Bombyx mori: one gene and its partners. The protein of the gene in region 2 binds, or shares a complex with, the protein of the main gene of each other region. Links are inferred from orthologs where the notes say so. Each region holds a gene or a part of one and is shown on either strand. Other genes may lie near its edges. The genes, in order: DNA-directed RNA polymerases I, II, and III subunit RPABC4; DNA-directed RNA polymerase I subunit RPA2; Znrd1; RNA polymerase I-specific transcription initiation factor RRN3.

Region 1 (8,054 bases), on a different chromosome or scaffold from region 2:
TATTAATCGTTGAAGTTATTTGTTATAATTATTATTGTTTGTTGATTTTGTTGTTATTGCTATTTGTTGAGTGTTTCTTGATTTTTTATAAAAAATATACTATGCCACGTCAAACTGGTGTAGTATTAAAAAGACAAGCTAGAAAAATGGTGTACGACGTATATTGCTTTCTTAAAAAGCAGGGAAATAATGATATGGAAACGGTAAAAGAGACTTCAGAGGCAACAAAAACATCAGTCAGTACTGTTAGGCGTATTATTAATGAAGCGAAGGGCTCTAACTTGCTCGCCGTGTTTCGTACTCCAGGTAAAAAAAGATCAGGGAAGAAGAAAGTTACCGGAATTGATAGTTTCGACCAATCTGCAATAAAAAGATGTATTCATAATTATCACATAACAAACAGCGAACTTCCTACCGTCGAAAGACTTCGTAAAAAATTGAAAGAAGATATAAATTTTAATGGCTCGGAACGAAGTTTACGACGAATTATGAAAGAGCTAGGCTTCAGATGGAAAAGAACAGAAAATAATCGGAAGCTATTAATTGAAAAAAGTAATATTCGACTACTAAGGATCGAATATCTCCAAAAAATAATTAAATATAGGCAAGAAGGAAGACCGATAGTGTACACCGATGAGTCCTATGTCGACTCATCACATGCAAGTGGTATGTCGTGGTCAGATGGATCAACTGGGGGTTTAAAAAAACCAATTTCGAAAGGACAGCGTGTAGTAATAGTGCATGCTGGCTCCGAAGATGGATTTGTTCCCAATGCCCTTCTTTTGTTTAAAGCTGGCACAAAATCTGGTGACTACCACGATAACATGAACTATTTGAACTACGAAAAATGGCTGCGTTGTCAATTGCTACCAAATCTGCCACCAAATTCCGTTGTAGTAGTCAACAATGCGTCATATCACTATAAACAGTCTGACCCCGCTCCAACTGCCAATGCCAAAAAAGTCTATATGAAGAAATGGTTACAAGAAAAAGAAATTCCATACGATGAAAACATGTTGAAACCCCAGCTTTTTAGCTTGATTAAAGCACATAAGGAACAACACAAAACATACAGCATTGATAAAATTTTATCAAACCACAACCATTCAGTGCTTCGCTTACCTCCATACCATCCAGACCTCAACCCAATTGAAATGGCTTGGGCAGCTATTAAAGGGTATGTCAGTAGCAAAAATGTCGACTGGAGCACTGGCAAAGTAATAGAGCTAGTGAAGGAAAAGGTCGCGGTGATGGGTGCTCCGGAATGGGGTAGAATATGTCAAAAGATAAAAGATATTGAGGCGGAGTATGTAAAAAGTGATCATGTGGTAGATTTAGTCACTGATGAGTTTGTAATTTTTGCTGACGATGATTGCGACACGGATGAAGAAAGTAGTGATGATGATGATGATGGTCATGATTATGATAGCGAAAAAACAATTAAAAATACCAGCTCAGCTTCAGCTGATCCAAGACCTGGCACCAGCTCCTAGTTTTGACCTAATGGAAGGAATATCTATTTTACCCCTAGATTAAATTACTACAATTATTAACCTGTATTTTTTGTTCATGTACTAATAAATATATAAATAAATACATATTATGTTGTTTTTAATAACTTAACATTTTTGTACGTAATTGTACGATGCGCGAACTTACCCCCACTACGTCAACTAATGCTCAAGAAGTTTGCCGAGTATTAAGCGAATAGGCAGGTGCAGGTAGGGAAAAAAATGAAAAAATATTTATTTCTTTGTTTACTATGTTTGTTTTTTTAAGGGATTTTATGACCTGGTAACTAAGACCTTTAGGTCAAGTCTTATTTTAATTTTAATGATAACTTTTTTATATGAAAAATGATATTATTAAATGAAATGAAGTTGATTATTGTGAAACATGGCATGAAATGAAATGAAAACGAAATGAAATGAGAAAATATGGGATGAAATATAATCTCAGTAAAATGGTGGTCATTTACTAAGATTTTTCAGTGGACTTTTTGGAGGATCCCGAGAAGTTACGTCCAGCGGCTTTGTTCCATTTTCCCACATTTGTGCACTTTCACAGATATTAAACTGCTAATAAACCACCATTATTACACATTTAAACCCGAAGAAACACTAAATAGACAAAATATAACAAATCACACAATATCACTCCTCGCGTTCCCGCCAAAAAGTCTGTTTTTCTATGTTTGGGAGCTTAATGCACAGATTAGCTAACTCAATCCATAAATAAAATGTAAAAAAATATGCCATTTATTTGCTTTACGGCTCACTGAATTTGGTCCCCTTTTTTAATTTTCGATTTTTTTAATTTTTAATTATTTGTTCGTCGTTTGTTCGTTAATGTTCGCGCGTAACAAAAAGGTAGTAAATACGGCCGTCGGCCATTGCCATCTGACTGACAAAACCGGCGCATGCGCAATGTAGGCGTGAGGTGATAATTTGCTTATTAGATATAAAATAATTAATAATTTCGAATTTACTTGTTTTTATGATCGAACAATCACCAATAGTCGTCGAACAAACAATAATTGATCAAAATTAATTAATCTGAGCAATAAAAACAAAGATATCTAGTAAGAGGGGCCAACTGAAGGGTGATCATTTGTTTAATTAATTATAAATAAATAAAAGACGAACAGATAATTTTACATTCAAACATTGACGATCAAACGACGAACAAATAATTAAAAATAATCCTCGGTTCCCCTCCAATGTCCCGATGATTTTTTCTTTTAAATTTCCACTCCTTTTTTTACGTATTTTTTTCTTCAACAAGACAAGCCCTCTTTTGAACAAAACGTTTTATGGTTTAAGTTCCCTTTGCGGCTTAATTAAACAAATCCAAAAACCATAGATTCTACACACAAAATAACAATCCAAAGCATAGATTATACACTTAATATAAAGCTTAAATCAAATTGGTGATTTAAAATAAAACACATTTTTTATTATTATTTAATTTTTCTCTATTTTAGCACATAATGGCTGACACAACTGGGAAAGAGCAATCAGTTACTAAAGTGCCAATGATATATGTTTGTGGAGGTACAGTGTAACCAAATAATAACAAAACTTCTATCACTTTGTAAAACACTAACACAAAATAACCTAATAATTGTTAGGTATCAGCATACCCCAATAATTGAATATTTTTTTTGTATTTCTTTTTCTCTTGATTTATGAACATTTTTTATAGAAAAAAGAAAGAAACTACTTTTAAAATGTTCTTACCGATAACACTAAGCTTGTCAATGTCTACTAAACAAAGAATTAATAAATCAGTTAATTTGTCTTTTGTGTATAGTAGATTATAAAATTATTCACACTGTCTTATAACATTGTATAAATTAAGGCGTTTTGTTTAATGTGTTATTGTTTTACTATATTTCAAATGGGGAATGCATCTGTATAAATATAAATGTTCTTTAGTAAAGCTAAAAGCCGTAAAAGCTTAAGTGCTTTTAATAAAACTTGTTAATATTAATATTAAAATTTAAAAAACCTAAACTTAAAAGTATTAGAAAAATGAAATTGATTCAATTGAGAGTAAATTATATTGTTTGCCCTTTTCTACATTATTGTTTTTGCCGATCATCTACTTCAACTGTTTAAATGTTGGTTTCTTTAATAAATGCAATCCTGAAACTATAATATGGGTCTGCAAAACAAATGATGCTTTCATTATCATTTTCAGAATGTCACAAAGAGAATGAAATCAAACCAAGAGATCCTATTAGGTGCAGAGAATGTGGTTACAGAATAATGTACAAGAAAAGAACAAAAAGACGTATCCTTTTGATTCTATAAATATATTCTTAAAGTAAAGATTATAGGACTAGGATACAGCCTAGTGATTTTAATCAGTAGAAAGGTATTGACAGGTATCACCCATATTTAATTCCTTCATTGTGGAAGTGATTCGTGATCACATTTCGAGAGTATATTTCTTTGGATATTGGTATATGCAATTTGCACATTTGCATGGTTGCACAGCTTGACACAACTACACCATCTGTTTTATCCTTTAGATCACATTGAGCTTGCAAGAAAATAAATGTAATAAATGAGTCGACTATTATCAAAGGCGGCAATCTGACTTTTGGACAATGATTGGTAAATCAGAAAAACGAATTATTGACTTTGTATTCCATTGGCAGTCACAAAACTCTTCGGAACGACATCTTAGATAAATAACAGGTTAACTATTAACCTTTATTTAATGCAGGTTTTGAACCGTATTCTTTGAAGGAGACGATTATATTCAAATAAATCTGTATTGACATATCAATAAAAAAAAATTGTCCAAATGTACAGATTGCCACCTTTGATAATAGACGACTCATATCTGTTAAAATCTTCAGAAAATTACCCTTTTTGTAGTTTGTGTTGATTTTAAATTCATCATATTTTTGTTCGTAATATTCTGAAAAATTTTCCTTAAGTAAGAATTCAGTGGTTGTGTTTGACGCTCGGTAAACGAATTCTGGAAACAAAACCCTAGAAGATAAGTTCGGTGGATACATCATGCACAGAAGAGTGAAATAAATTTATAATAAGGTTAATGTGTATTTTTGTTACTTTGTCTATGCTCTAATAATACTGACCAATGAAAAAAAATATATACAAGGTAGTTTTTTTATAGTAGATTTATAGATCTACATCATCACTTTACATTATATACTGGTGGTAGCCCATAGACATTAAAACATGAATGCCACCTACCGCCATGATATATGTGTTCTAAATTGTACCCAATAGATATAAGTAATCTGAATGATTTGAAGTATCAATCAACTTATTTGATGTTTCTAAATGAACTACTGCCTTAAAAAAAAAAGACTTAAGTGCAAGAAAAATATGTAACTTTATAGATAGATATCAAATGAGTTCATTATCTTTTTTTTTTATTGCTTCGATGGGTGAATGAGCTCACAGCCCACCAGGTGTTAAGTGGTTACTGGAGCCCATAGACATCTACAACGTAAATGCGCCACCCACCTTGAGATAAAGTTCTAAGGTCTCAAGTATAATTACAACGGCTGCTTCACCCTTCAAACCGAAACGCATTACTGCTTCACGGCAGAAATAAGCAGGGCGGTGGTACCTACCCGCGCGGTCTCACAAGAGGTCCTACCACCAGTAATTACGCAAATTATAATTTTGCGGGTTTGATTTTCATTACACGATGTTATTCCTTTAATCGTAAACATGGGTGGCGGCATTTACGTGTGACCGTTGGCCAGTTTTGCACACGACACCGCTAGTGGCGCCAGACGCAAAGTGTCAATATGGAGTACTTTCGTAAAACTTCCGTTAAATAATAACAACTAATAAAAAAAACAAAAGGGAAATATCTCAGTGTATTTTAATTATGTAACTTCATCATTATAAAGTTTTAACAATTTATTAAAATTATTACCTCTCATAATAAAACACCAGAAAATGTATGTCTAAAATTTTACAATAGCCACAAATATACATTTTTTTTCGATCCATAAAAACTATCAATAAATAATTGTTAGGACTCACGACATTAATATCAAATTTAATTTTTCACACATTCCTCTAAGTCAACTTTTTGCTTACGTTATATAATAGTGAATATAAACATGCTATGGGTATACACATGCATAAAGAAAATTTGAATAAAGAGATTTAATTCCATTCTATAGTTACCAACTCACTAATCATAATCAAAAAGTTTATAGCACATACAAATAACATTCTTGGAAACAAAATACAAAATCATGACAGTTTATGATCAAGTAACTTTACATGTTCTGTCTCGAATTTATATTATGTCCCAATTAGAGAACTATACAGATGACGTAATAAATTTCAATTTATCGGTAGTTGAAATATAAAAATTACATAGAAAAATATCAATTAAAAATCATTTTAAACTTGAAATAACTAAATGATTATCTTTAAAAAGCTTATATTTCTATTCGCAAGTGTTTTGAAAATAATAATTATGTATTTATTTAAAATCATACTAGTGGCTAACAGAGGAGATAATTTCATTGAAAAACTAATATGGAAATGAGCTATTTGTATTCTGTAAAATACGCATTTAAATATGTATTTATGGCTTTGCTGAATTAGTAGAGTTGACTTTAGCTACCTATTGTATCACAGAGTCCTCTTTAAATTCGAAGTCAGCTTCTTCATTAAAAACATTTGGCATTCGAGGACTAAATGTACATACATTTGTCATGTTTAACTTTCAAGCACCCATTATAACAAAGGGGAAAACCCTAGCTTGGGGACGTTTAATATGAAACGTTTAGTACCGAACCATTGAAATTTTATTAGATGGATTTAATCAGTTAGAACAACTTATTATTGTAGATAAGACCGCTTACAGGCCACCTGTGTGCTTAGTGCGAGCTTCTGAACGTTCTCGATAACGTAAAAGTTAAGCCAATTTTGTATGCAATTGGAACCGCCCCTAGCGGCAAACGTACGCAAGCGATCCCATTCCATACAAATATGACCTAACTTTTACGCTATCGAGAACGTTAAAAAAACTCGCACTAAGCACACTGGCTTAAATGGAAAAAGAGCCGCTCGCACAACAATGGAATAGCAAAGAATTGGAAACAATTTTATTGGATAGTGCGAGAATTATAACGTCGGATCACATTTTTGAGTAACATATCGAATTTTGATTTTGTTATTTAAATTGTAAACGGTTTGATCTTATAAGTAATGGTAAACAAGGGCAAGTAAAATTGATAGAGTCCCGTCTGTAATGAGAGATGAAAGGATGGATCATGTATGATTTAAAATAATGTGAATAATGACAATACCAGTAAATAGGCATTCAATTGAAATTATATTGAATATTATCATTTTTCTTTCATGCCAATCCGGAATTGGATTAATATTAGAAACATTATTTGTAGATGTGAATTATTTAAGTATGCATGTTATTTTGTTTAAAATATTTATTTTTTTATTTACCGCACTTTATGTCGCCTCTCGAGACTGATACGATTTATCGTTTCCGCTTGAATGTCTATTTCAACAGTTTTTTCAATTAAAACGTATAGCAGATTTTTTGTATAAGTTTTAGAATTAGGAGCCTATAATTATAAATCATTGATTAGCGTCGATGCCTTTCTGTTGCTATAAGCTTCTTGATCATAATGGTAGATTTAGGTTTTTATCGATTATGTACATATATATTTTAATAGATAGTTATTTATTATGGTGGTACTTAAATACATTTTGTACCTTAATAATTATGACAGTCCCGTGATATGATCAGACACAAGATATTTACAAAAATAACTAAGTAGTTTGTTTTTGAAAATTGATATTCCAATATGGTATAGTACAATAGTAGTATAAGGCGCAGTGCAGCAACCCAGTTCGAAAATATTGTAAAAATGTTATTGTAAATCTACATCGTTATTAAAATAGTTTATACAATATATTATATAACAATATAAGACATATATATACTACAATAAAGAAACATAATGATGATATCATATATTTTAAAAATTTGAATTTGATTTGATTGGTATTATTAATAGTGATATTTTCGAACAGCTTGTGGTCTGCAGCTTCAATGAAGCTTAATTTCATATTAGCGCCATAAAGCTTAATTTCTAGAAAAATAGTTTAACAATGAATATATATATACTTTTCAAATAACAGTACATTATATATAAAAAACTAGGCTCTGTAACCTATCCCTTACAAAAAAGACAAAACATGCAGATCATTGATCATTCACACTAATAATTATTTTTACATTGGACTATAAAAATTAAATGAATAATAGTAATGCATAATAGTAGGAATCAAAACTATACTACTATTAATATAATTTTTTTAAATCGGAGAGCCCAGCTTAAACATGTATACAAATTGATTATAACTTTAAAGAAACTAAATTCAATTTATTTCCGTACATTTTTATGGAAGACATTTTTGTTTTTTATTCATATCTACGTTTAGTGTATGGAAGTTGATATGCCAATTGTTTTAAATTTATGGAAGTAGTAGTTACATAGTATAAATATGAAGTGGTAA
Region 2 (8,083 bases):
CGGCAGAGAGCTGCTACATACAAGGGAGAGTTAAAGATCAGAGTCACTCTGTGCATTGACGGAAGGTCTGTCACCATTGAGAGGTCCTTAGGTTATTTACCCATTATGATTAAGGTGAGTTCATTGTGGTAATTTTCCTTTGAAATTTCAATTTAAATAATTTTGCTTTAAATTTGTAATTTTAGCTATCAGTGTATCAACACATTGAGGGGTATAATGAAAAATACTTTAGAGAATTTGAGAAACTTTTTGCTTCATGGTAATTAATGGTATTATAATACTAGTGAAAAAAATATGTCAGCTGTAAACTCATGTTAATGTATATGGAATGCAAATAAATTGGACACTGTTACCTTTAAAGCCTAATTCTGTTATATTAACAAACTAGTTTTACAATTCTGGTCATCAAATAAAGTTTTAGGAGGAAGGTTCGACTGACACTTGAGCATACAAAGATAGTCATCGTGGCCTAAAGGATAAGACGTCCGGTGCATTCGTATATAGCGATGCAACGGTGTTCGAATCCCGCGGGCGGGTACTAATTTTTCAAATGAAATACGTACTTAACAAATGTTCACGATTGACTTCCACGGTGAAGGAATAACATCGTGTAATAAAAATCAAACCCGCAAAATTATAATTTGCGTAATAACTGGTGGTAGGACCTCTTGTGAGTCCGCGCGGGTAGGTACCACTGCCCTGCCTATTTCTGCCGTGAAGCAGTAATGCGTTTCGGTTTGAAGGGTGGGGCAGCCGTTGTAACTATACTGAGACCCTTAGAACTTATATCTCAAGGTGGGTGGCGCATTTACGTTGTGGATGTCTATGGGCTCCAGTAACCACTTAACACCAGGTGGGCTGTGAGCTCGTCCAATCATCTAAGCAATAAAAAAAAAAAAAAAAAAAAATTCTAATAATCACTAAATGATATGTTAGCAATTCATTGCCTAAAGCACTTTTAGAGCAATTTATATGTTAATCATTCACAGCCTGGGATCCTGATACTATGATTTCTATGAAATTATTATTTGAAAAGTTGAAATAAGGAAAACAGACCCTATAATTTAAACATTAAGAATCTTTATATTTGTTAATAGTGTAATACAGAGGATAGTTTGGTGGAGTCATAATGAAATTATTATGATGACTATCAATTTAGAAAGAAAACTTTTGTTATTCTAACCTTCTTTTTTATTACCCTTGTAACAGAGGAGCTTATGGTCACCTGAAAGTGGGGTGTAGTTCTGAATATTGTTTAAAAGTAATGCTTTATTTAAATTTGTAGTCTAAAATGTGTCATTTGGCTGATTTATCACCTGAAGAACTGATTGAGAAAAATGAACATGCTGATGAATGGGGTGGATATTTTGTAATAAAGGTTTGTAACTACCGTCATTTCAAAGAAACTATATTTTCAGTAAAATTATTGCACAAAATGTTAATAATTAATTAAGTATGTGTTAGTGATTCTGAAAAGAATCAGCGCAGGACCAATCATTTTTTAGAGGCTTGGAGGAGGCCTATGTCCCACAGTGGACATCTCTGGGCTGATAGAAGACGAAAAAGAATATTCTAGAAACCCACTGTATGAATAGATTCCCAATGCTGTTACTGCAGTCAAAACCACTGTAATGAGAGTGTCTGACTGAGGAGAAGCTATCGATTAACATGCAGCTTTTGCTGAAATAATAATTCTTCATCTCAAAGCTGACAGTTCATGATAATATTCAGTAGTCATTAGAGAAGATTGTTACTGCTATTGTAAGTCTTAATAAAATTTCAGTAATAATATGAAAGCCTTTCAAATGGCAACAGATGACTATCTCACAAACAATATATAGTTTACTAGCGACCCGCCCTCACTTCGCTTCGGAAACTGTAATTTATTATTGATTTCTCCACTATTTAATGGATGTTACTATATATATAAACCTTCCTCTTCAATCACTCTATCTATTAAAAAAAAACACATCAAAATCCGTTGTGTAGTTTTAAAGATTTAAGCATACATAGGGACAGACAGATATAGGGACAGACAGATATAGGGACAGACAGATATAGGGACAGAGAAAGCGACTTTGTTTTATACTATGTAGTGATAATGAACACTTGTTAATACTTAATACTAGGGCCATGAGCGTCTAGCCCGTATGTTGTTGGTTACACGAAGGAACTACCCTGTGGCCATCAAGCGGTCAGGATGGAAGATGCGAGGAAATCTCTTCTCAGACTATGGAGTATTAGTACGTTGCGTCACCTCCGATCAGACCAGCACGGTGAGTTGAATAAACAAGTAAATTAATTGTCCAAGACACATTGCTTACATTACTCGCTTGTAATAAAAAAAGAAATAGTTGTATATATTCCAGCATCAAACTCTAGCAAGTGACCCCACTGCTTACCTATTAGAACATCAGTCTAAGGATCTTCTTACATACACAGAGGGCTACTTGAAACACGATAGGTATAACTAGTGGAATAAAAAAGTACCTTTTTTTTTCCTACCTAAGCTGATAGCCTTGAGAGGCTATTTCAGCGTAATCTTAAATAGTAGGTGAGCTCACGGGGTTCAAACCTGACGACGTAGCTAATACGAACCCTAGCAAGAGCTGTGCTTCGCAGAATCTACCACCGGATCGGAAACGCGACCCACTGAGAAGATCCGGCGAGAAACTCAGTGGGCTGTGTCTGTGGGTTAATTTACTCGTCGAGCCCTTCGACGGGTTCGACGAGAACGATGACCGGTGCTTGAGATACCTAAAAGCACCGTTGGTGGATCGGGAGGATCCGAAAAGTACCTTGAACTTATCCTAGTAGGTGCTATTTTAGAATAACAAACCTTTGTTCTACCAAGCTAACTTTCTTCTACAGAACAATGTTCTGCATTTCCTAACGAATGGCACGTGCAAGCTGATGTTCTCGTACCGCAAGATGATGTACTACGCTCCCCTACTCCTCATAATGAAGTGCCTGGTCCCGTGGCCGGATCACTACATATACACACTGCTGTTGCAGCATAATAAGAATGATTTGTACTACGTCAAGTAAGTCAAGCTTGGTTCCTCGTTGGATTGAAATTGCATCAGATCTTCAATTTTTTTTTTATTGCTTAGTTGGGTGGACGAGCTCACAGGCCACCTGGTGTTAAGTGGTTACTGGAGTCCATAGACATCTACAACGTAAATGCGCCACCTACCTTGAGATATAAGTTCTAAGGTCTCAGGTATAGTTACAACGGCTGCTGGCTGCCCCACCCTTCAAACCGAAACGCATTACTGCTTATAGGCAGGGCGGTGGTACCCACCCGCGCGGACTCCCAAGAGGTCCCACCACCAGTAATACTGTTTCAGTTGCATCCAGAATATGCTCCGAGAGCTCCACGAGGAAGGTCTGCACACATCCGAAGAGTGTCGCCTGTACTTAGGCAAGATGTTCCGCTCCAAGCTGTACGAGCTGCCGCCCTGGGCTACCGAGATGGAGGCGGCCCAGTTCCTCCTGGACCGATGCGTTATGATCCACCTAAAGAACAACACGGACAAGTTCCACGCTTTAGTCTTCATGGTCCAGAAGCTCTACGATCTGGTTCAGAATAAGTGTAAGGTGAGGGTTCTAAAGGCCGCCGGTGTAGTGGTAAATGACATGGTCACTACACAAGGGGGTCGCGGGTTCGAATCCCGCCAAGGGAAGATATTTGTATGATAAATATAAATGTATTTTCCAGGGTTATGGATGTATCTTAAATATATATGTGTATAATAAAAATCTTACATTTATTTCCGTTATCGGGTACCTGTAATACAAGTTCTTTACGAACTCATCACGGGACCAGTTAACGTGGCATGAATATAGTAAATATTTATTTAACGCTCAGACACAGTCCACTGAGTTTCTCGTCGGATCTTCTCAGTGGGTCGCGTTTCCGATCCGGTGGTAGATTCTGCGAAGCACGGCTCTTGCTAGGGTTAGTGTTAGCAACGTCGTCAGGTTTGAGCCCCGTGAGCTCACCTACTAGTTAAGTTTACGCTGATATAGCCTCTCAAGGCTCACAGCTAGGGTAAAAAACAAAAAAAAAAACATGCAAACTGCCACTCTCGCTGAAGTGGATGAGTAATGCGCGCGATACTGACTGCTTTTGAGAAGTCTCTTGATGCCATTTCTGTATGACCTATGTTTATGGACATTTAGATACGAACTTAAGCTTTTGAAAACAACTCCCCAGTTTAACAACTTCTATGTCGAATCAAACCCAATTCTCCACAATTACACAATTTTACTGGTGATAGGACCTCTTGTGAGTCCGCGCGGGCAGGTACCACAACCTCGCCTATTTCTGCCGTGAAGCAGTAATGCGTTTCGGTTTGAAAGATGGGGCAGCCGTTGTAACTATACTTGCGACCTTAGAACTTATATCTCAAGGTGGGTGGCGCATTTACGTCGTCTATGGGCTCCAGTAACCACTTAACACCAGGTTGGCTGTGAGCTCGTCCACCCATCTAAGCAATAAATAAAAATTATCAAATCTTGGAAATTAGTAGCGGTACCTATTATATAATTGCATGATAATTCATGCTTCATGCAAGCTCCGGTCAGTGTAATGTCTTCTCTATTTGTTTTTCTCAATAAAGTTGCAATTTTATTTAAATATAATAAATATATTTGCGTGGTTTCAGGTGGAAGGAGCGGATGCTGTAATGATGCAGGAGGTGATGGTGGGAGGCCACCTCTACTTGCAGGTGTTGAAGGAAAGACTCCAGAATATTCTCAATAACGTCAGGATACAGATCCTTAAACGCGCCAAGACAACACATCGACTAGTCATCGGTCATGTGAGTGATGAGTAATTATATACATCTATACTTCTATACTAATATTATAAAGAGGAAAGATTTGTTTGTTTGTTTGTCAATACAATACAATAGGCTCCGATTTAAAAAAATCTTTCACTGTTGGAAAGCTACGGTATCCCCGGGTGACATAGGCTATCTTTATTATATTTTCAAAAAAAATTGTGGTCCTTATTGAAACTCCAATAATGTAACCCAATGTGTAAAAAAATTACCTAAAATTCTTTACATCGCGTACCCTACTTCCCAAGCGAAGCCGGGGCGGGCTGCTAGTGTTTCGTATTCCACAATTCATGTACACCAGTGATTATCAAACTTATTTCTTTTACCGCCCCCTTTGAAAATCAATTATTTTTCAGTGCCCACCATTTTTTATACACCTCTAAAAGTTAAAAACCACAATTTCACAAATAATACATCGCCCCCTAACCCACACCAACACCCCTCATTTTTTCTGGGCCCCTTAACGCCCCCTTCTAGGTTTCAAACGCCCCCAAGGGGGCGCTATCGCCCACTTTGAGAAAGACTGATGTACACGATTAAAAGCAAAATAACTTTCTCGAATAGAATTATCTCATGGTACTCTCTTTACTGGTGGTAGGACGTCGTGTGAGTCCGTATAGGTAAGTACAACAACCCTGCTTATTTCTACCGTGAAGCAGTAATGCGTTTCGGTTTGAAGGGCGGGGTAGCCGTTGTACTGAGACCGTAGAACTCATATCTCAAGTTGGGTGCCGGCATTTACGTTGTAGATGTCTATGGGCTCTGGTAACCACTTAACACCAGGTGGGCTGTGAGCTTGTCCATCCATACATGCAATAAAAAAATCATGTCGTAAGCTTGACATCCATTCTTTCAACCATCTAGCATACAGGAAGGCCGGTCAATTTATAAACAAACTAGCGGCTCGCTCCGGCTCCGCTCGGGTCTTTAACAAAAATTTCAACGATATGACGTTGTTTTATTTTTTTAAATAAAAGAACACTTATTGTGGCATAACTATAATAGTTAGACATATGCTGTGGCGACACTTTTTGTAAATAGTAATGTATTCTACAAAGTCGTGGTACATTCTTTTATTCTATCATCAATAGTTTTCGCAGGGCACGCGATGTAAAGAATATTTTAGGTAATTTTTTTTTTATACCTTTGGTTACATTATTGGCGTTTTAGTAAGGATCCCTAATTTTTTTCAAAAAAGATTATAGCCTATGTCACTCGGTAACAGTGTAGCTTCCAAGCAGTGAAAGAATTTTTCAAATCGGTTTAGTAGTTTCGGAGCCTATTCAATACAAACAAACAAACAAATATTTTCTCCTACTTACGCCGAAGGTTTTCGTCCCGCTGTACAGGGAAGAAAGTGTAACTTTTCCTCCCTGGGTACTGACAAGTGCGTATGCGCGTTAGTGTCTACGTCTGCTCTCACGCACATAATATTCTCTGCCATTGTTGTGCTCGGGTAATTTGCAATATTGTGTTTAGTGTAAAAGTGAAATAAACAAAAGGCAATAATGTTTATTATAATAATATTAAGTATAGAAATATGGTTTCGTTGACAGAAAGAGCTTCAACAAATCCTCCGCGCGTGCGGGAGTCTAGAGCAGAAGATGGAGACGTTCTTGGCCACGGGGAATGCGCCCTCCAGCAACGTCAACCTCACGCAGTACAAGGGACTCACCATCGTGGCCGAGAACATCAACAGGATGCGATATATGTCGCATTTCAAGTTAATATTTATGTTTTTTATTTATTTCCTTATTTAGAAGTCGTCGTGGCCCAAAGGATAAGACGTCCGGTGTATTTGTATAGGAATAAGGTCGTGTAATAAAAATCATACCCGCAAAATTATAATTTGCGTAATCACTGGTGCTACCACCAGTGATTACCTTTCCGCACGGATTCACAAGAGGTCCTACGACCTCTTGTGAATCCGTGCGGAAAGGTGAGTACTGAGCCTATTTCTGGCGTGAAGCAGTAATGCGTTTCGGTTTGAAGGGCGGGGCAGCCGTTGTAACTATACTGAGTACTGAGACCTTAGAACTTATATCTCAAGGTGGGTGGCGGTGATGGTTCCAGTAAACACTTAACATCAGGTGGACTGTGAGCTCATCCACCCATCTAAGCAATAAAAAAAAAGATTACCGGTCGTTTGCTAATAATGGCGTTGTGTGCTTAAGGTCGATTCACCGCGGCTCGTTCTTCATGGAGATGCGCACGACGGAGGCCCGGCAGCTGCTGCCGGACGCGTGGGGCTTCGTGTGTCCCGTGCACACGCCCGACGGCGCGCCCTGCGGACTGCTCAACCACCTCACCATGTCCGCGCAGGTCTGTCGCCCCCCGCCCGCCGCCCCTCGCCCCGCCGCCCCTCGCCCTGCCGCACCTCGCCCCGCCGCACCTCGCCCCGCCGCCCCTCGCCCCGCCGCACCTCGCCCCGCCGCCCCTCGCCCCGCCGCACCTCGCCCCGCCGCACCTCGCCCCGCCGCACCTCGCCCCGCCGCCCCTCGCCCCGCCGCACCTCGCCCCGCCGCACCTCGCCCCGCCGCACCTCGCCCCGCCGCACCTCGCCCCGCCGCCCCTCGCCCCGCCGCCCCTCGCCCCGCCGCCCCTCGCCCCGCCGCACCTCGCCCCGCCGCACCTCGCCCCGCCGCCCCTCGCCCCGCCGCACCTCACCCCGCCGCACCTTGCCTCCCAGCTGGGACAGCCCGATGTACATCCATGTTATAGTTCGACACGCAATGGAAAAAGCGCAGTTAACGCGTGAGGTCAATGCCCTCGTACGAGTCCCGAATGAAATGTCATCATCATCATGGCTCCAAGCCGGTTTTGGCAACGGGGACCAAAATTTTCTGTCCAATAACTTAAATGCTAATGTCCGCGCTTCTGATGCGCTCCAATATGGCTATGGTAGCTTATCTTGTTCTTAAACGTGCGCAAACAGAAGCTACACGTAAGAACACCACCCACGAAGTTGTAAAAAATGGTGGAACGAAATGTACAGAGTGTGCTGAATGCTGTCAACTCTTAATCCAAGACAATAAACTAGATGTGCGTTAGTGGTTTTATTTATCATATCTGTGGGTACAGCTTGGTATAAATCTAGGTGTTTTACCTACCTATTAGGTACCGTCTCGAACGATTTTTTAATCATACCACTCGTGCACTTTAGTTGCCGACTGTACATAAAAAAACGCGTCATAGCTTATTGTTTTTTCGGCAATAAATTAAAAAGGCACATCTCT
Region 3 (7,368 bases), on a different chromosome or scaffold from region 2:
AACAACGGGAGAGATCCCGAAGAAAATAAAAAAAATACATGTGTGCAATTCACACGTGGTAGAAGTGAAACCTTCCAAAATTAAAATACAATTATCCTAAACGTCATAAATACCTAGTCAGGTCATAAATTCTGTCACATGTTTAATGTAAAATAATTGAAACAAGTTTATTCATTATGTAATCATTCATATACCAAAATGAACTTAACAAAACATAGATTCTTATGACACTAAAGTTTATTCAAAATGACCTCCGTGATTTTGAATACAGGCCTTCGATCTGCGCGGCCAGTCGTCTATCGCAGCACGAACGAGGTCCATGTCAATATCGGCGGCTGCATTAATCAAGGATGTCTTGAGTGACTCCAAATTGGGATGAGGCTTTGAGCACACCTTTTCCTCCAAGTGTCGCCATATCTTGTAATCTAACGGATTCAAATCTGGACTGGAGGAGGGCCAGTCTTCGTGCCGGATGAAGTCGATTTCACGCGCCGCCAGCCAGTCTTGTGTGCTCTTTACTCTATGAGCTGGCGCCGAATCTTGTTGGAATACCCAGTGCCTGTTATTGAACATGGTATGAGAAACAGGTTCCACAAGGTTCGTCAGGAATGTATTTTGATACACAACTGCATTGGTTTTTACACCTTTCTCACAAAAATGTATCTCTGTTAAGCCCCAATAAGAAACTCCCAACCATACCATGAGCGAGGATGGAAAATAACCTCGTTGGACACGCGGAATACGGTTGCTCGCTTCTTCACTATGTACGCTGCGTACACCTTATCATTTTGTTTGTTGTAGCTCTTTTCTACGGTAAAAATTTTTTCATCCGAAAAAAGAATTTCCCGATATTTTTTTCCCGCGTACCGCTTCAACAAAGCGCGGCATCTCTTCAGTCTCAGGTCCATTAGACGAGCATTCAAACGATGTCCTGTTTTTCTTCGATATGCCCGAAGCCCTAAATCTTCATTTAACACCCTTTTCACCCTGGTTCTGCTTAACCCCATCTGAAGGGCCAACAGTTTCTGCTTACGTTTGGGATTTCTTTGAATTCGCGCCTTCACAGCTTTTATCACTGCTGGAGTCCTAACAGACCGAGGGCGACCACTTCTTGACCTGTCATCTACACTAGAGTCTTCATTGTATCGTTTGATGGTACGATAAACGAATCTTTTGGTTATATTCAAAATTTTCAGTATGTTAAAAATTTGAATTGGCGCGTAACCGCAACGATGCAACGCAATACCTGCAACATGGTCTTCTTTAAGCGTCCACTCTATATTTAAAAATGAGTAAAATTCTAAAAGTATACATTTTTATTTTCATGAACAATTCGAAATTCGAATTCAATAAACTTTTTTTGTGGCCAGCATTTTAAAAGAAAAGTTTTTACTGTGTGACAATACTTATGACCTGACTAGGTATATGTAAAATTTTGTCATTAGTAAATAATTGTAAGGTAGCGCCCTCTGTGAATTGTTATTTTAATTTCACGTATAATCCTAAATTAAAATTCACTACAAGAACTTTCATACACGCGTTAGTATTAAAAAATCTCACAGATGGCGCTGTATTAAATAGTATGTATATTTCTGTCTCATTCTTTGCTGGCTTCATCCTACACATTTTTGTATTTGTGTCTCTTACCTGTCGTTTTATCCGTTGCATCCGGTTTGAAATCACAACGATTCTAAAGAAGTTTTCACTTCAAAAGACAGGCTGTCAGTTTGAGGGAAAAATGTCATGATATAAAAAAATGTGTTTTACGTTTTTAAAAGGTTCAAAGATAAAAATCAATTGATTGTTAATGTATACGATTTTAAGGTGCGTGTGGAATAAATAAATGCTTCCTATACTGCAGTTTGAGTTTAATCCGCAACGACGACAGTTGTCAACATATTTCCTAAATACCTACTAATCTATATATGAGAAACAATGAAGATGACTGATTTTAGAGATCCACTATTGAAGAATTGCGTTTATAATTTCGTTTATAGAGTGGAGTTAGTAATAGTGTAAAGAGCAAGAGCTAAAAATGAGCTGTAGTAGACTGTAGTGGTTATATCTACAGCTACTGGGAGCGTTCTGTAGTTCTGTAGGCATTGTCACAGACTGTGGTAGAGAGACAAAAAGTCCACCAAAACTAAAACGTAGAAGTGCAATCTTCATTATTTTAATTACAGCACGTCATTTCGTATCCTCCCGATCCACTAACGGTGCTTTTAAGCACTTCAAATCACCAGTCATCGTTCTCGTCGAAACCGTCGCTTGCGACAAAGGGCTCGGCGAGTAAATTAACCCACAGACACAACCCACTGAGTTTCTGGCCGGATCTTCTCAGTAGGTCGCGATTCCGATCCGCTGGTAGATTCAGAGAAGCACTGCTCTTGCTAGGGTTAGCGTTAGCAACGTCATCAGGTTTGAGTCCCGTGAGCTCACCTACTTGTTAGGTGACGCTAACATAGCCTCTCAAGGCTATGAGCTTAGGTAAGAAAAAGAAACAGTTACTGAACTTCATCTTTTCAAATTTTAGTTACAAGTGATCTAATACTATCAGTATGGGCTATGTTTCCTTTGTCAATTGTCAAACAGTTAAAAAAAATTGTACGTAAGTAATGAATTTATCATTATAGTAAAAAAAAAATAGGTTTTTGTATAGCAAATACTTAGGGTATGTATACACTAAAACTGTCTAAAACCCTTCACAAAAATATATAGTATGCTTCATATTGGTTTAAAAATATATTTTGGTTATGTTTAGTACTAATAGATAAAGATTTAAAATAACCTAATATTCTAAACAAAAATACACAACCCTTTTAGTGATAATTGTGTTTACTTTTAGAAATAATGTCCACTGAAAGCCCGTTATCAACTAGTACAGCGTTTTGTGCTCGCTGTGGGTCCATATTACCCTTGCTACAAGAGTTTGGCTCCGTGAAATGCTACACTTGTAAAGCACATTATGAGGCTGATAGTAAGTATATAGTTGCCAATGAAAAAATTACTTTCATATAAACGGGATACGATTTTTCAGCGTTATGCTTTTGTATAATTTTCGAATATTCACTATTAAATTTATAATAAATAAAAAAACTTTAGTGATACTTATGAAATCCAGAAAGAACCTGTTGTATTTGTTTTCGAAATATAAAATAAAAACTTAAAAAAATGTTTTATTCAGAAATTCTTTTTTTACAGATTATAGTAAAATGAAATTTCAATACACAATACATTTCAATACTATATCTGTGATCACAAATGAGAATATACTACATACTGATGGTCCTGAGGGTCCAGTTGTGGAGAGAAAATGCGCTAAATGCGGTTACGACAGAATGTCATATGCAACTCTACAGTTACGATCGGCCGATGAAGGACAAACAGTTTTCTACACATGTATAAAGTGCAAGTATGTAAATTACAATATTTATTTGTATTTCGATGAGCAAGTCATCAATATCTGTACTTGTATTAAATAAAATTGGACCCTACCACTAGCCTAAGACAGGAAAATAATTGCAACTTGTGGCCAAATTTCCTTGGTAATATAAAACTGGACATAATAATGATCTTGTAAGCAACTACTATCTCAAAAATAAAATTATTTCCTAATTTAAAAAAGAACACATCGTACAAGATAATATCGTAAAGTATTATTTATTTTCAGATACAAGGAAACTGAAAACTCCTAAAGGCTGCTTTATACTAGTTTTAAGGTTGTCAAAGGAAAACTCGGCAATAGAATCATTGTATCAGAATCACTTTATGCAAAAATCAGTTTTACTGATTGTTTTAAATTAGGTAAATTTAATAAGGATTAAAATTAATCACCATGTAACTGGTGCGTAATTTTAATTCCATTTCTTGGAATGATAACTTTTAAACTGTAAATTCTATACTGATTAATCTTAAAAACCATGTTTTAAAAATTACATGTAATAGAATCAAATCTGAATAATTGAAATTATAAACATTTGTCCAAATGTTTTTTTTATGCTGAGAAATACATTTCTATTTTTAAATAATAAGTTCAATGAAAGTTTCTTTTTCAAAAGGTTTTATTTCCATGTTTCTAAAACCATAGCAATATTGAAGAGTTTTATGCAACAAGTTTATTTGGATCTTAGTGTAGAAGATTTACATTTGACAATTTTTGATAAACTTATAATACACTACTCAGAAATAATTCTATGTAGAACAAGCTCGGCCATATTAGTTTCCTACAGTAAGCATAATATGCCTGTATAACAAAAGTACACACTGCTAATCTTCCATAGTAGAAGTCACTGGATTCTGTAATACATACATATTTATTAAGGAAAATTTTTACCTGCCTCCTAAGGCCTTATCCCTTGATACTAACACCAGCACAATCGCTTGATACTTGTAAACCGGCATCGTATCCTATAGACCACAACAACATCAAGTGGGCTGTGAGCTAGCGTAACCATACAATGAAGAAAAATAATCGTAGTATTGGCAACAGTGTCCGTTGTGAATGATGTTTTAAAATGAGATTTTGCTCTAGAAATGTGGGCAGAAGCTATGATGTGGTTGTTTTAGATCACTTACACATTCTCAAGTAATAACAGTGCCGTGTCAATTGCTGAGCACCTGAGGTTTACTCAAGGCAAAACAATATTCATATAATATGTCATTACATAGAAATTCCAACTTTGAGTGAGAAACTTATCATTATTACATTTTCCTTTAGCACATTGGTTCTCAAATTTTATGCTCGTCAAATCTAGATTTTGGTAGTGATTTGAACAATTTTCCAAGTGGTCTTAAAGCACAGTCATAATAATCTGCTAGTAATCTAAGACTATTAATAGTAACGAATCGACACTTCCAAAGGCATACAATTCATACGGCGGTAGTAATATCTTGCATGTGTTTGTTTTGCCTTACAATATTATTCTCACGTCCAACTAAGAACAACTTATATTAAAAAAAAACAATTTAGCCAGTAATGGTTTTGAACAGCAAAAACTTAAAATATTGTTTCCTTAAATTGTGAGACTTTTCATAAACAAATTACAATGTTTTGTCACAAGAGAAAATAATGCTATGTGATTTTGAACGCGCTACAAATAAAATGTAGTTAATTATTAAATAGACCAAAATACCATTCGAGATAATAAACTTTTAAAATAGACATTTTAATGGTAGGCAGCGGCTTGGCTCTGCCCCTGGCATTGCTGACGTCCATGAGCGACGGTGACCACTTACCATCAGGTGGGCCGTATGCTCGTCTGCCTACAAAGGCAATAAAAAAAAAAAAAAAAGACAAAGCTAACAAAAAAATGCCTAACAAAATATATATCTCATTAATAAATTATGCCAATAAATTATGCCTAAACTACAATATTTAACAAATAAATTAAAATGAGGTTTGCGTGATCAAACCGGCAGCTATCTACGAAATACAATTTTTATTATAAACAATCTAGGCTGTCGTGACGGTTGAGAGCCGCTGTCTTAGCCTATTTCTAGAGTACTTACTGTCAATTGTCAAACGTTTGTTTCACACATCAAACGATGCCGCGCAACAACAGTTCATTCACAAGCCGCAGGTGAAACCTACTTTTCACATTCAATACACGCTACCTTCCGACGAACGAAGTCTTTTTTAACGTGCCAGAAAAGGATAGGTATATGTTTCAACTGTTTTTTTTTAATACTGACGGAAGGGTCAGCTTGGTTTTTCGGCTGAGAGCTGGTCCGAGCCGAGATGAGGCGGTAATTAATTTGATCATTCGATGTACGTTGCGTACGAACGGATTAGTGATGGACACAGTCGATGAACTTATATTATCGAAATTAATATGAAAGTATGTTCATGGTAGACACAATTAAAAATACTTCTACAGTTTAGCATCGCGTTCTTTTTTTTCTCATAAAATTATTTTCGACGTTTATAATACTTTAAATATTTCATGGTCACGGACGACTAAGAGTTGCCGCGGAGATTAAAGTAATTTTAACTATTATAAAAAAAGCAATTGATTTTATAAAACACAGTTCGATATAATCGTTAACAGACCTTTATGCGGTCTTCCAGCGACAACAAACTGGCTTTACCGGCCGGTATCGAACATGAATCTCGCCAATCACTGCGGGCTCGGATCGTGTTTCAGCTGTCAAGATCAAACCTACACGCGGCAGATAAATGAGTTTGCTTTCCCCTGTCATTCAGAGCTTGCCGCGTCCTGCCGCCCGTGGCGACTCCTGCAGCGCGAACAAAGCCTCGCCAGACTAAGAGCAACTATAAAATTAAAATACAAAACCTAAATAAGATTTTTAGGTTTACCAATTAATCAAATAAGTTTACCAATTTATCAATAATCGTTGCGTTATTTTCGTCAAATGTTCGGGATTAAAAAAACCTGCATGATATATAGAGAATGATCTTATGCATAATAATAGGTAAAACGTCGTAAATAATCTCTGTTACATTAAAATTGTTTCATAATTAAAATCTGTGTGACTAAAATCGTGTAGTAATAATGAAATCTGATGAAAATTTATAGTTTACGTAATTAATACACGATTTTGATGTCGACCATAAGACTTAGGATGAGGTATTAACATTTGTGATATCTGTTAGCTACGGTAAACATTTAACACAAACGGTAGTTAGCTCGTTTGCCCATAAAATACCTCAGCGTTTGATACCAAAAACAGTAGGGAAACCGCTTAAAGAGGCGACTCGATTCCTCGAATTAAAAATATGGCTTCGTGACGTAAAACCTTAAGTAGGTACCTCTTTATGCATTTATTGATCGTTGAGTCCATAGGGTGTACTATTAGTTTAAACATGAAATAGTACAGCCCTTAGCCCTCAGACACAGCCCACTGAGTTTCTCGTCGGATCTTCTCAGTGGGTCGCGTTTCCGATCCGGTGGTAGATTCTGCGAAGCCTCTCAAGGCTATCAGATTCGGTAGGAAAAAAAAGTACAGCCATATTTTTTGCTTGATTTTTGAATCTGAATGAAACCCAATTGAATGGTAGAACAAATTTCCAAAATCCATGTTTGCTTATTTATTGCTTAGATGGGTAGACGAGCTCATGGCTCACCTGGTGTAAAGTGATTGCCCGAGTTCATAGATAACAACAACGTAAATGCCACCTAGTCTAGAGTTCTAAGTCTATGTTTTATACATAGTACATACAACGGCTGCCCCGCCCTTCAGACCGAAACGCATTACTACTCCAGAGCAGAAATAGGAGGTGGTACCCATACGGTCTCACAACACACGTAACTACTTGTAAGGATATTTATTTATCTATCTAGGCCTGATATGAATCTAAAATGAAGTAATATAGGTAATTTATTTATCGATAACATCGACAAGTGACCG
Region 4 (7,877 bases), on a different chromosome or scaffold from region 2:
GGCAGAGTAATCAACGAATGTAAAGTATGTACATTGACTAATAACATGTTTTAAGCATAAATAGATGCAGGATAGCAGCATCTAAAACTTCACAATAAGTTATACAAAGTAAATTAGACAGTTTCATTTATTTCTAAAGTTTTATAGAGTACATTTTTACTTTTCTCCTTAAAAATAAATAAATAAATTTTAGTATGGTATGCTTTCACTTGTTCTAAATCCAGGTAATACTCCATTGGACAGTGAGCTTGCTAGTTTAGAACATGGACTAACAGACATTAAAAAGTCGTCATCGTCTGCCTCCATTTTCTTTTTCATGTTTGAGTATTGAGTTTCGTCATCGCCTTCTTTTAACCAGTCTTTGTAATCGATGCACAGCGGCCATATTATTTTACCGCTTCTGAAACATTCAAAGAATTGATTTCTCTCAAGTAAGTTATAGTGTAATTGTTAGGAGGTGCATAATTAGAAACGGTTTACCCTATCTATTTTAGAATATTAAATTATCATTATACCCTCACAGCGTAACTAAGGACTCGCGACATATTAGTTTGCACAGACAATCATAGAGAAGTTGCTCACGGAACTTTACCTTATTATCAATAATTAATAACAATACGTAATAAAAGCGATTTGGTTATAATGGTAGGTTTTCGTGAGTCACATTTACTACTTTTACAGGTTTCTCTCGCGTATGTTTTATTTTATTACATTATATTAGTTTTCTGATAGTTTCAATTAAATTGGTTTATGTGTTTTAATATGTATATTATAGCAAAATGCAATTAATCTCGGATATAGGTTAACTAAAAATTTGTAACGCTAGTGGAAGCAGGCCAAGCTGCTTTTACATTTTGAGAAACTACTGACACTCCGCCTGTCGTAAGTTATTTGACAAATTTCCATACATTTGAGTTATAAGAAGAGGGTATATTTACCTAGGTAATTGATAAGGGTCGTATGGAAACCATTCATCATACTGCAAAATATCTGCAGACTGTAACGTGTGTCGCGCGTTGTTCTCAATAATAGCTTGACAATACACAATTTGGTGAGATCGAGTCACCGATGAAAATGCTCGTGTCACTTGCGGTGGGCAGGTGCGGAGAGGATTCAGTGTGCAAGCCACTAGCCGAGGAAGATTAAGAGACTCCACAAAGTTTAAGCCTGAAATATTAAAATAAATATCATATTAAATAGAGATAAATTATACAAATCTGTAATTGTTAATAATTTAGTTATATTTTACTGAAATTACCATTACTGAAAGAAGTGACCAAAATATTTTTTTTTAAAGATAACCTTTTTGTAAATGTGTCAGTTATACTTCACAAATGTGATTTTATTCTGTGTAGATTGCTTAGAACTGAGCTTAAAAATAGCCTTTGAACCATAAACAGAAAATTAAAACCCTATTTCATGAGCTGTAAATGTTATGACATATTGATCCATCAAATAAAAGACTGTATTTAGTAAAGGCTTTGAAGGTGCACAACGAAAATACTTAACAATAAATAAACATTCCAAATAAATATTTTTAATATATAGAATGCTAAATTATACTCACTTTCTTTACTCATAAACAGATGCTGGTGTTTGAATGCAATTAGGTAAAACACAGCATGACATATAGCATGGAAGGCTCCATGAGCTTTAATGTTATCAGTAACAGTGGTGGACTCTTGAGCTGCAGAGATGTAGGAATGGCACCAATCTGTCATTGTCTTCAAGAATTGTACTAATCTTGAGTTAGGAACTCGAACACAACGAGCCAGCAGGCCTGCAAGATGACTGGCAGCTGTTCGTCTTGTTGCCAATGCACCAGGTCCTAGACCTTGAAGCCCTGCCGCTACTGTCCACAGATTGTTGAGAACTCGGTCAGCGCAATGTTGGTTTATTGATATTGTATACAGCAGTAAAAATTGAACATGCCTGAAAAATATATACAATATGTGATTAGCATATTTTGAAACTAAATGTCATGTATATATGTTTAAAAAGTGTCATATTAAAATAGTTGATTGCTGTATCTACGCTACCAATTTTTTTAAATAGTGAATTTCATTACATATTTCACTTAAATATAAGTGTTCCACTTGTGTGCATTGACATTATCCTTGTGACAGGTTAAAAAAAAAGAACCACATTTATTACTAGCATTGCAACAATTTTTTTAAATCTATTTAAATGAATAAAAATATTTACATAAATTAACATTAAATATTTACAGTTTAATACCATTTCTCCTCTTTTTTCAACCAATTCTCTGGTTTTTTTTTGTTTTCTCCAGTAGAATCTATTGACAAGCTTATTTAAATATAGTTTGGTATTTGGCTTCATGAATTATTTGGAATTGTTTAGCTAAATGCCTTAATCTTTTATATTTTAAAAATTATAATTAGTATAAATCATAACATGTCAGTGATATAGTAGAGTAAGTGGTTGGAGTAAATTTAAATTAGGTATAACATTTATATTCACAAAGATATAGGTCAAGGAATAATCAAGTTTATTGAGATTAACATTTTTTATGACATTAAAATTTATAAAATTACAAATTTCACAAAAATTTGTACAAAAGATCATAAATTTGATGAGATCCTGTGTTTGCGAATATACCTCATTTTATTCTATTAATTGAAGCTGCTAGAACAATGTATATTATATACATCACAACAGGACTGCTTTATGGAAGTTATAGGATATTCGCTTCCATTGCCATTCTTTATTATATTTATTAGATATTTATATCATATCATTACTTATTACGATAAAAATAAAATAAACCTCCAAAATTCTTCCTAGATAAGACATTTATCGCATAAACACATCATGCTATACACACTACTTAATTCCAATAAAATTAGCTTCAGTATATGGTCTTCCTCATCACATTATAAGAAGCATCTAGCCTCATCATTGTATGCATGTGAGAGTTTACATGTTTTTCATTTATACTTTTGAATTTTAAAAACACAAAATGAGTAAGAATGTATATTATATTTTCTTACCTGATTCCGTAAGTTGGTAGTATTATTTTTTCAAAAGCTGTGCACATGTGGTGCAAAATAGGGTCTCTTTCTTCCTGTAGCCAGTGCAATACTTCTAGCATACTATAGTCTAGGGTTTCAGAGATGTCATCATGTTGTTCCACATCCATGTCAAATAGTGTGTCATTCTGTTTCATTTTATTGTCACTTTCCACTATATTGCCATCCATTACTATCATTCTGAATAAAAAAAAATAAGGTGAATATGTGAGCTTTACTAAGTGGCATGTCAAATAAAATTAAACCACCATAAAGGTTGTTATTTCAAGTAGGCCTTCATAGGTGTTTTTAAATCGTCATGACATTATGGCTAAGTTGGAAAACAGCTGCATCACAAGAGAATGAGTAAGAAACTTGGAGCTTGCTCTTTTTCTAATGTATCTATCTACAATATTTTATTAAATAAGTACATATAAAGGTAACTTAAACAAAACAGTGTGCTTAGTGTGAGTTTTTTACGTTCTCAATAGCATAAGCTAGCCCAAATTTGTGTGCAGTAAGAACAGCTCCTAGCAGTAAAAAACTCACACTAAGAACACTGGTCTGCCTTATTCAATGCTGGACAGAAATCTGTTTGTAGGGTTGTGGATCACAAATTCATAAGGTCCCGTCTAACATTAAAGTAGCTAGCTGTTCAAAATACTTTGATTTTTCATCTTTAACCTTTTAAAGATTAAATCTAAAATGAGAGCTGTAATAAATTATGTCCTGGCCATACAAGTTTAAGGACTATTTTTATTTCTAGTACGTAATTGATTTTAACAAAAATTTATAACTTAAAATAATCAGTTTACAATTTGTTTTCAGATTGAATTTAAAAAATGGCTGCCTCTTACATACACCTTATTCATAAATCTTAGTTATTTAGACTGACTGCATGACATGTCTCAATATGTACGTACAAGGTTTTGTTTACTCACCTATTAATAATAATCATCATAATTTCCTCTGTAAGTGAAGGTAGGTATTTGCTAATCCATATAAGGTTATATATGAAAGATCTATTTGAACTACAACCAGCTTTGTGATATGGAAATTGATCTATCACAGTCTCCATTAAAAGTTCATTTGTCCTAAAACAATTATTTGTTAAAATATTATTAATGTAAACATCACCTGAATTTTTCTCAATTCAGGTAATATTTTACATAGATTTTTTTAGGCCTAAATTTTTATTCTCTTGATGCCACACTAATATATCGACCCTTGAAAGGCAAACGTGACTAAGCGACAATGAGTGAACTTTACAGTAAACTAATTTAAAGTTGAAATACCTGAAAAAAAAATCTTTTTTAACTAATCTAGCTGTAGGATTGAAATGATTTTAATAGACCTAGAAATATTTTTTTTTTGCGCATCGAATATTATTATTGCCTATCATTTATGTAAAAAGCAGTTATTGTCCTTAGTCACGTTTGCCTTTCAAGCGTCGATATGGTTTCATGCATTATATTGCATAGTCAAATGCTATGTATCTGTTAAAATTTTAATAGTGAGAATCCCAGTAACACCATCATTCCAAACAATGCTTTTTTGTATATTTTTCAAGATTTTTAGTAAGGATATACTTCTTACATTAGATTATGTAATTGTAAATGAATACCAACATTTCATATTATCCTTCTGTATCTTCTTAAAAATGTGGCAACATCCAATTGTCAGTAATTTTTTTATGAAATGAATAGACCTTCTGGTTCTATTCAGAAGGTCACCATTCATTTCTTTGATTTCATACCAGTTTACAACTTTGGTATGTGCTATTTTTGGTCCACTTACATGTGACCATTTGCATTCTGCACCAGCAATACAGACTGAGCTGCTCAGTGATAATATTAGCATCCATCGCTGTTCAGCTCTTGTATTTAGGTAGCCGCATTTCATGCTCCCACTCAGTAATAATTGCCCGAATTTCAGTGTTACTGAAATAGAATATGTTTAGAAATTTCATTTCCAAAACCCTTTTCCAAAAGTGCTCTTCACTGATTCTCTAGAAAAGTTTTGGTAAATACTCAATCAATGGTACGAGGGCAGCACTAAAAGTATCGGGAATGGAATATTTCCACTGTCCTGTCATATTAAAATCTTTTTAATTGAAAACTCCTTGGTTTTAAAAATCGAATACCATTTATTTATTTAAAAAAAGATTCTCGGTCTTGTCACGAGGTTTTGTCAAACTTGTTTAGTCGTTGAGAAAATGGAATTGACTCGAGAAAATTCAAAAGCGATGATTTATTATGACTTTCGAAGTGGTTTAACACAAAAACAGTGTGTTGACCGGATGATTTCTGCATTTGGTGATAAAGCCCCATTCAAAACCACAATTTATCGCTGGTTTGCTGAGTTTCAACGTGGACGTGTCAAGCTCAGTGATGATCCCCGTCAAGGTCGTCCAAAAACTGCAGTCACCCAAGAAAACGTTGATGCTGTGCGTAAGCTGATTGAGGAAGATCGACATGTGACATACCGCGAAATTCAGGCAACTTTAGACATTGGCATGAGTCAAATACAAATAATCTTGCAGGAACAATTAGGTGTAAAAAAGTTGTTTTCCCGATGGATACCGCATTCGCTCTGTGAAGAGCAAAAAGCGGCTCGCGTTACTTGGTGCGTCAGAACTCTCGAAAGATTCCACGCAGGATCCTCAAATGCTGTATACAACATTGTATCAGGTGACGAATCCTGGATATACGCGTACGAACCCGAAACAAAAAACCAGTCACCAGTTTGTGTGTTCGAAAATGAGTTAAAGCCAACAAAAATTGTTTGTTCACGGAGTGTTGCAAAAAAAATGGTGGCCACGTTTGTCTCCAAAACCGGCCATGTTACGACTATTCCTCTTGAGGGACAAAGAACGGTTAATGCAGAATGGTATGCTAGCATTTATTTGCCACAGGTCGTTTCTGAACTCCGTAAAGAGAACTGCAACCGCCGCATCATCCTCCATCACGACAATGCGAGTTCTCACACCGCGCACCGAACAAGAGTTTTTAGAGCAAGAAAACATATAATTATTAGACCAGCCGCCGTACAGCCCCGACCTAAGCCCTAATGATTTCTATACTTTCCCTAAAATAAAGAATAAATTGCGTGGACAGAGATTTTCATCACCTGAATAAGCTGTGGACGCCTACAAAACGGCCATTTTGGAGACCCCAACTTCCGAATGGAATGGTTGCTTCAATGATTGGTTCCATCGTATGGAAAAATGTGTCAAATTTCGCGGAGAATACTTCGAAAAGCAATAAATACATTTTTAAATAGTAATGTTGTGTCACTTCGTTAATTCCCGAAATTTTCAGTGCCGCCTATGTATTGATTGATGTAGGTGCAAAATCACACAACATAGTTTCCAGAGTCATTTATAAAGCCAGATAGAACTCTGTGCACCTGGTTATTTTAAGAGAACAATTTCAGTCTCTCATTGACCCATTTATTATTAAGTATTATATTAAAATTTTTGAGTGTGTCACAGAAGGCTCAAATATGATCTCATCAGCTAATGTTTTGTAAGTAGTATGGTGGGTCCCATAAACTTTTTAAACATCTATGTGATGATCTTGTGGTATTCAAACATTTTTAGTTAGCTGCAGAAGACAGTTCCCAAAAAGGGAACTGTTTTAGTATAATGAGATCTGACCAATTAAATATCTCATCCAACCTTTGTAGGTTGTCAAATATATCATCAATATGCTTCATGAAGCATTTTGATATATTAGCCTATATCCACTCACTTAAGAGTAAATACTGGGGCTAAATCAATACACATACTCAAATAATTAAATTCCCAAACCACTCTAATTCAAATTGTTGAAGATTTCTGTAAATATTTTATAAATTTTTATGTATCGTGACACATATAGGGCGCTTCATTAGAAAATAGTCCTGACATTACTTAAATTGTTAGATAGATATAAACATCCACAAACAATGTAATATGAAGCATAACCTTAAAGAAAGTTACGTAAAATACTTACATCGGCATTATTGCGATAATTTGTCCTATGATTGTATGAATGTTAGACCAGCTATTCAATTTCTCTGTTGGTGGAGTGTCATCCCAGTTTTCTTCATTAGCTAAAAATATCATAGTCATCATCAAATATATCTCTAACTAATGTTATGAAAATTATTATTAGATTAAGTAAGTCTGCCTAAAAAGGCAATATTTTTTTTTAAATATTATCTTGGATACTTCAACTTGTGACTGCTGGTTTGGAATCCTGCAGGCTGGTAACAATTTTTCTGATGGAATACTACTTACTTAACTAATGTTCACAAATGACTTCCACAGTGAAGTTGTGTAATAAAAATCAAACCCGTAAAAGTTTTAATTTCCTTAATTACTATCAGTAGAGAAACTTGTAAGCATGCGTGGGTAGGTACCACCACTTGCCTGCCTATTCCTGTCGTAAAGCAGTAATGTATTTTGATTGAAGGGTGGGGTAGTTGATGTACTGTAAAAACTAAGTCTTAGAACTCAGGTTTCAGGGTGGGTGGTAGCATTAACATTCTGTATGTCTATAAGCTTCAGTGAACACTCAACACCAGGTGGGCTGTGAGCTCATCCACCTATCTAAGCATTATAATAAAAGTAACGGACTAATAGCATGATAATAATATAATTCAGTTTTATACAATACAATATTTCAGTAGTTATATTAGTAAGAATATGAAATAAAAGAAAATCTCAAATCTTAAATGTTACTAGATTTCTGAAAGAGTACTTGTATTGACTTTTATGTGTTAAATTCTTTCACAATATTTCACAATGTTTTTATTAGTATTTACTGATTATTCGTTCATATAAATATATATTTTATATGTTCA

The links.
Region 1: the proteins of DNA-directed RNA polymerase I subunit RPA2 (region 2) and DNA-directed RNA polymerases I, II, and III subunit RPABC4 are in contact, whole or in part, in a cryo-EM structure (PDB 7OBA), measured with the Homo sapiens proteins. The link is inferred for Bombyx mori from reciprocal best matches to the Homo sapiens genes POLR1B and POLR2K. Residues at the interface, in NP_061887.2 of Homo sapiens: Val87, Ile92, Cys93, Lys94, Glu95, Val98, Ala101, Glu102, Gly105, Arg106, His159, His160, Gln704, Asp705, Val793, Phe794, Gln805, Asp808, Asp809, Asp810, Leu812, Pro813, Phe814, Ile815, Gly816, Ala817, Lys818, Leu831, Val848, Asn851; in NP_005025.1 of Homo sapiens: Met15, Tyr17, Gly20, Glu21, Ser30, Arg31, Asp32, Pro33, Ile34, Arg35, Cys39, Gly40, Tyr41, Arg42, Ile43, Met44, Tyr45, Lys46, Lys47, Arg48, Arg51, Val53, Val54, Phe55.
Region 3: DNA-directed RNA polymerase I subunit RPA2 (region 2) and Znrd1 share a complex: the UniProt entries of both Homo sapiens proteins name them as parts of the pol I pre-initiation complex. The link is inferred for Bombyx mori from reciprocal best matches to the Homo sapiens genes POLR1B and POLR1H.
Region 4: DNA-directed RNA polymerase I subunit RPA2 (region 2) and RNA polymerase I-specific transcription initiation factor RRN3 share a complex: the UniProt entries of both Homo sapiens proteins name them as parts of the pol I pre-initiation complex. The link is inferred for Bombyx mori from reciprocal best matches to the Homo sapiens genes POLR1B and RRN3.

The regions. Positions count from the first base shown.
Region 1 is NC_085111.1:12,247,837-12,255,890, forward strand, and holds DNA-directed RNA polymerases I, II, and III subunit RPABC4, read left to right. Parts: upstream 1-2,796; 5' UTR 2,797-2,989; coding exon 2,990-3,053; intron 3,054-3,702; coding exon 3,703-3,795; intron 3,796-4,461; coding exon 4,462-4,484; 3' UTR 4,485-4,634; downstream 4,635-8,054. Other genes in the region: uncharacterized protein LOC119628526, read left to right, coding at 825-1,493. UniProt on the Homo sapiens protein: DNA-dependent RNA polymerase catalyzes the transcription of DNA into RNA using the four ribonucleoside triphosphates as substrates.
Region 2 is NC_085132.1:2,352,267-2,360,349, forward strand, and holds part of DNA-directed RNA polymerase I subunit RPA2, read left to right. Parts: coding exon 1-114; intron 115-1,285; coding exon 1,286-1,378; intron 1,379-2,129; coding exon 2,130-2,276; intron 2,277-2,871; coding exon 2,872-3,044; intron 3,045-3,350; coding exon 3,351-3,600; intron 3,601-4,670; coding exon 4,671-4,826; intron 4,827-6,403; coding exon 6,404-6,570; intron 6,571-7,021; coding exon 7,022-7,169; intron 7,170-8,083. UniProt on the Homo sapiens protein: Catalytic core component of RNA polymerase I (Pol I), a DNA-dependent RNA polymerase which synthesizes ribosomal RNA precursors using the four ribonucleoside triphosphates as substrates.
Region 3 is NC_085112.1:11,750,956-11,758,323, forward strand, and holds Znrd1 (transcription-associated zinc ribbon protein), read left to right. Parts: upstream 1-2,844; 5' UTR 2,845-2,845; coding exon of another isoform or gene 2,846-2,850; coding exon 2,851-2,977; intron 2,978-3,201; coding exon 3,202-3,412; intron 3,413-3,670; coding exon 3,671-3,695; 3' UTR 3,696-3,986; downstream 3,987-7,368. UniProt on the Homo sapiens protein: Core component of RNA polymerase I (Pol I), a DNA-dependent RNA polymerase which synthesizes ribosomal RNA precursors using the four ribonucleoside triphosphates as substrates. Can mediate Pol I proofreading of the nascent RNA transcript.
Region 4 is NC_085116.1:3,272,649-3,280,525, forward strand, and holds part of RNA polymerase I-specific transcription initiation factor RRN3, read right to left. Parts: intron 7,125-7,877; coding exon 7,025-7,124; intron 4,124-7,024; coding exon 3,971-4,123; intron 3,231-3,970; coding exon 3,012-3,230; intron 1,933-3,011; coding exon 1,568-1,932; intron 1,168-1,567; coding exon 939-1,167; intron 401-938; coding exon 190-400; 3' UTR 1-189. UniProt on the Homo sapiens protein: Required for efficient transcription initiation by RNA polymerase I (Pol I). Required for the formation of the competent pre-initiation complex (PIC).